2 linked regions of the Nothobranchius furzeri genome follow. The protein of the gene in region 1 purifies or fractionates together with the protein of each later gene. This does not show direct contact. Links are inferred from orthologs where the notes say so. Each region holds a gene or a part of one and is shown on either strand. Other genes may lie near its edges.

The links. Proteins that work in one complex are often made in the same cells at the same time.
Region 2: the proteins of rilpl1 (region 1) and rab10 purify together in Homo sapiens (co-immunoprecipitation; 3 studies listed by BioGRID and IntAct, with this or other methods). This does not show direct contact. The link is inferred for Nothobranchius furzeri from reciprocal best matches to the Homo sapiens genes RILPL1 and RAB10.

Annotation. Positions count from the first base shown.
Region 1 is NC_091746.1:75,752,713-75,756,243, reverse strand, and holds part of rilpl1 (RILP-like protein 1), read right to left. Parts: intron 1,299-3,531; coding exon 1,248-1,298; intron 1,173-1,247; coding exon 1,018-1,172; intron 1-1,017. UniProt on the Homo sapiens protein: Plays a role in the regulation of cell shape and polarity. Plays a role in cellular protein transport, including protein transport away from primary cilia.
Region 2 is NC_091742.1:11,399,487-11,401,791, forward strand, and holds part of rab10 (ras-related protein Rab-10), read left to right. Parts: intron 1-596; coding exon 597-735; intron 736-1,807; coding exon 1,808-1,897; intron 1,898-2,305. UniProt on the Homo sapiens protein: The small GTPases Rab are key regulators of intracellular membrane trafficking, from the formation of transport vesicles to their fusion with membranes.

The sequences.
Region 1 (3,531 bases):
GATTCTGTCGGTGATTTCAGTTCAACCTTCTTCTTAAGCGTCTGACCTGAAAGAATATAATCTATACGTAAAAAGCTAACAGGTTAACAGTGAACAAGTCATCTGGGGATGAACTTTTAAAACTAATGTTACTTATGCACAGCCAGACAGGACGTTCAGAGCTGAAGGAAAAGTTTGTGTTTTTCGCTGAAAGATAAAAACAACGAGGTATTTCCACGACGCTAGCTACTACATCATGTGACACTGCTAGAGATCAGAGAGAGAAATAAAGTCACAGGAACTGTTAGGGCCGCCGCCGTGTTGGAGCCCCAGTGTGTGTGCAGCACTTCCTGGCCCAGGGCGTGCCGTTTCCCTGTTCAGCAGTGCAGCACCTTGGACAGCTGCCCTTGGGAAACAACCAGCTTTCCTCCTGGACCATGGACAGCACCAGGGCGGCAGGCACAGCCCGCTGGGACTGATCCGGGGAGAGAAGTTGTTTGTGGGTTGCAGCAGCAACTGGTGTTCTCTTCCCTTGTGCTTCTCGGCTCCGTCTAAACCTTTTGCAGTTTTGTGCTTGCTGCTAGAGAGAGTAGGTAGAATTTTTGAAGTTTGGACAGTTTCAGTTAGTTTGGCTCGTCTTTCAGACACACCTTGGTTAACTACCCGGTGGGTTTTTGCCCGTTTTGGATTTCCAGTCCCCTTTCAACAAAGGAGAGTAATTTTAGGATTTCCAGTGCCTGGACGTTCTCAGTTAATTTGGTAATCTTAGTTTGGTTCGTCTTTTAGACCCACCATGGCTAATTTCTAGGTGAGGGTTTTGCCCCCCCCCCCCCCCCCCCCCCCTTTAGTAAACCTGTGGAGACAAGGACATTTTGAGTTGGTTTTGCTTTGTCATGCCTTCCCCCCCTTGAGGGTGACCTTACGTTAGACTCGTCCATTTTATGTTTCCCCTCCTCACCTTCCTAGCTGAGCCCACTGTAGGGGGTAACAGGAATCATACAATCACGAGTGTCCTCAGGCTAAGATGCTCCTGATCACCTCTTGTAGTAGGCCAGCTCCTCCTGCAGCAGGAACACCTTGGCCTTCAGCTCGTTCCTCTCATGCAGGACGTCCCTCAGCTCCTGCAGGGTGAACCGAGGCCTGTTGGGGTCCTTGAGGTCCAATCCGCCCGACTCCTCCTCACAAAACGCCTCCTGAGAAGGAAAAATCCCACATGCTAAAGGAGAGAGTCAAAGGAAAGGGCGGAAGCAGGGAGGAAGTGAGGGTACCTTGGTGAAATATTGGAACACAGCAGGCATGTCCTCATCGCACATCGCCTCCTGGTGGCAAATGTTGAACTGTAAGTCAGACATCGCCCTCTTTGTTCCAATACTTTGTTTAGTTTAGTTTTTCTAGAGTCAGCCCAACAGAAACAGCCAGGGTCTGGTAAAGAAAAACTCCAGCTCTGAGCAAACAAACGGTCCGGATTCTAGAAATAATACCTACACCTAGCTGGTGTGTGTGTGTGTGTGTGTGTGTGTGTGTGTGTGTGTGTGTGTGTGTGTGTGTGTGTGTGTGTGTGTGTGTGTATAATATCTAATTAAATACTGAACAGGTTTTAATGAAACTCTCAGAAAGCAAACCCTGGCTCTCCATCGTGTGGCCTAGAGGTCGACCGGTACGGTTTTTCTATCGCCGATAGGATGCCGATGTGAAAGAGACACTTTCCACCTTATTTTAATACTAAATCTGAACTTATTCAGTGTTAAAGTTAGTCCCCTACGTAAAGCTAATTAAGAGCATTTATTATGCAGCTATTAGTGAACATAAACATACATCTGAATGAAATTCTGCAACAGCACCAAGATGTGCCTGACTTTAATCGGCTGAACTAAGGACAAATATCCCGTATGGTTGCGTCTGCCCCGTGTGAACCCTATGCAGTGTGGCTGCCACAGACACCAGAGCTTAGAAATCTGTTTAAATAAGAGTTTTAAGGTTCAAATGCTATTTTAGTTGTTAAAATAAAGAAACTTTAAGGAAACATCAAGAACGGTCAGGCAGGAAAACAAAAGACAAAAAGGAAAGAAAACCGTCATCCTTCCCTGCTAACAACTCAACAGCATCAGTCCAAAAGGCTTCAGAGGAGCTCAGATCCATCTGAGTCAAGTTGAACCAGCAGAGAAATGTAATCTTAAGGTTTCGACTCATCTGGAGGCAGTGTGGTGGCGTGTGCCTCCAACACTCACAGCTACACAGCAGATCTGGAGACAAACAGCTGAAATGAATCATTTTCCAGATGGTTTAGTTCCCTTTGTCTTCGCTTACTAACATAAATGGTAACTGTGCAGTTTTACACACACCGCTCCCCACGGGGACGGGTCAAACGCGGACCGGTGTGTGACGATGACTACGGGACGTAAGCTACAGTAGATGAGTGAACATCAGAACCACTTCAGGAATCCCGGCAGACGGAACAAGCCCCTCAGCTGGAGGCTAGGCCAGCTTTCGCTTTGCTTTATGAGCACGGAGGAACATTTAGGTGCTGTTAGGGTGTACTTTCTTCTTCCGGCTCTTGGAGAGTACAGACGCTTTTTTCTCCTCTCCCTCCCTCCTCCTCCCAAGGCTCTTTGTCCTGTGTTGTGCACGGCACTTTCTGCATTTTTTCTGGAAACTGGAGATTATTAAACATGGACCTGGTCAGTTGGTCTCTCAACGCGATTGATAAGATTTTTTCAGTGATGAGAACGGGAGAAGGGGCTCCCGGTTGCCCTTCTGGGACAGAGCCAGCTGGGTATATCATGGACTCCTGGAAACAGTGGAACATGATCTGCCTCTCTCAACTGTCTGTAGAGGATTCTGAAGACGTCTGGATATTCGTGGTTTTGGTGTCGGGATTCCTGCTGTTTGGCCTGAGCGGTTATCTGGCTTACCGGAACATTAACGAGCTTTCGAGGAATATTGGCTCAATCCGGGTGCTCAGGGATGGATTACACCGCGCTGTAAACTCAGACTCATATAATTGTCGAGATGAGTTGTAAGCTTGGAACTTTGGCTGAGATTCAGGCTCTGGCACAGAAGGTGGATTCCATCAAGGAGCGAGTGGATGGATCAGCACGGATTGGGATAGATTAATTACGCCATTATTGGATCTAGAGGGGTTGAAGACCAACAGAACTTTAAGACAGAGAGGAAGTTATCTCTGTCTGTCCCCAAAACCATTCTTATCTGAATCTGGTGCCCTTGAGCCTGTGAGGCTGAAGTAAAAACTCCCCTCAGAAGAAATGTGGAATGCTGCCGTCGCCATGGAAACCCTTTCTCCCTATCCCAGCCTGGGCGGGACTGTGACCGGTGAAGGCCGTGGAACCGTATCTAGGAGTCACTGTGCCCTCTAACCCATTATCTCCCTCCCCTGTCCAAATGGAGGTGATGAGCGCTGCTCCATGTGGCTGCACGCGCTGAAGTGAGGAGAGTCCCAACCCTACCTCCCCACCTAGTGGACACTTCTGTTGTGTGATGTCTGAAGTCTGTTGGATTTCTGTCTGAGGTGTTTTTTTGCATAGCAAAGCTATT
Region 2 (2,305 bases), on another chromosome or scaffold:
ATGACATTTGCACAATGTATGAGGAGCCTTCGTGGTTGGCTTCTGCAAACTGGTTAAGAATGATTGTGATTGGCTGATTTCTGCGTGAAATGCAAATCAGGTCCACAAAGTCTAAATGTCTTCTGTGCAAATATTTCGCCCATCGTCATTTATTGGACTGATGAATATTGGTTGGAAAACATTTTACATGTTCAATCTTAGGACAAACATTCCACTCCATATTTTTTAAGTTTGTGATTTTTTTGGGGGGCAAAATGTTTTTAAATTGATACGAATTTTAGGCTACTTCAGTTGAGCTGGAACAATTTTTTATGGTAATTTTTTTTTATATTTTTATGATGCATTTGTTTAATCTGAGCCCTGGTCTGACTACTTAAAATACAGATCAGCGTTTTGATGTTTGACTAAATTTCATTATATTAATTAACTTTAAATTAAAACCGTTCCTGGCCCTTCCTGATTCTCCAACAGCTGAATGTCTACCTGAGTTACGTGGTAAACTAGTACGGTGCATGCTTTAGCATCATTTGGGTCAGTGGGTGGAGTTGATCCAAGAAAAAAAACAACAAAAACAAAAGCATGTTTTTGTTTGGCAGGGACACAGCAGGTCAGGAACGGTTCCACACCATCACCACCTCCTACTACAGAGGAGCGATGGGCATCATGCTGGTCTACGACATCACGAACGCCAAGAGCTTTGAAAACATCAGCAAATGGCTGCGCAACATTGATGAGGTGAGTGTTGCATGTTGGGAAGTCTCCCTCTCGGCTGGTCTGGAAAAGGTTTTATTGGTAATTCCTCACCCTGGGTTTTAAAGAGGAAAGGAATCACAATGACTTTCCTGTTGACTACAAATGGGACCTTTTGCTCCAAAAGCGTACAGTTGAATCTGCGGAAGCTGAAATTTTGATAAAGGTGGAAGAACAATGTATCAAATGATTTAGCTCTGTGTTTTTGTCCCAAGGTCCTTCAGAGACAGCAGTTTAAGACAAAAAAACAATCATCTAGGTTTAAACGGAGCATTATCTTTTAATTGTATTAATTAATTGGAGTTTTCCAGTTAAATTTAGTCTTAAAAATTGCGAATATCATCTGGCTTTTAGTGTTGCGATATTGTATGGATATTGTGTCATAAGATTCTTGCTCTGTGCTTTGGCTTTAAAATGTGAAATTATGTTTTTGTTGCTATTATTTATTCTGCAATATTTCCTGGAACACTGAAAAAACATTTTTTAAACTTTCTAACGGGTCATTCTGAGTGTTTCATGCAGGCTGAAAATGAAAATAGTCTCCTACACCTATCTCCTGCATTAGCTTCTGATAGAAAACAGACGGTGAAACTCTAGGATTAGAAAAGCCTGACAGATCTACGTCACACTGTCGCTTAACATTCATGGACTCACCCATCTTGACTCACGATGAGGAAGGCTGTTGTTGGTTTAGCATCCAGGAAACCGCAGAGAACCCCTCGGCTAGTAGAAGCTAACCGTTAGCATTAGCAACTCCACCACACAGCAGAACTCCTCCAGGCTTGTGTTATTTGTGGAGATAAAACATAAATGTTGCAGAGCAAACAGTCAGTGGTAGAGTCATGCTGCTGTTAGCCAATCAGAGGAGGAGATGTCCGAATATCAGGAAATAAGACTCAAAAACCCGCCGTCTGAAGCTACTTTCTCCAGCTGACTTGTACTTCATGATTCAGGCACATCTGAGCTTTTTCCCTCCAGAGTATGTCTTACAAGGCATCCATTCCTACTAGAGACCTCTGGAAATGTATGTTCATCACCTTAAATATTCTGTTTTCAGCATGCGAACGAGGATGTGGAGAGAATGCTGCTAGGCAACAAGTGTGACATGGAGGACAAGAGGGTTGTACTAAAAACCAAGGGGGAGCAGGTGAGTTAGTTGGTATCCTGTTCTGTGATGTTTGGGAGATCAGTGAGTCTGTACCAGCTGATCACATTTCAGTCGACTCCACATCAGGAGCAGAGCGTTCTAGGTGCAGCTCAGTGTTTACCTGCATGTGGAGACAATAATCCTTTAATGATGCATCCTTAGATTAGTGTTTTTATCTTTATAATCGTGGCTTTAAAGGTGAGCCTTGTGAAAACAGTTTTCAGGTAAATTGTAGTTTCTGTTACCCGTAGTTGGATGAGCTTTGGTGTGAGAACTGTACCTGAAGACTTCTAAGGAGGTTTACATTAGATTTCATCTGCATTGATCCGACATTTGTACGATAATTCCACTCTAAAAGACAAGATTGTTTATTTATTGACCCAATTGGTTTGTTTGAATGAAGATTCA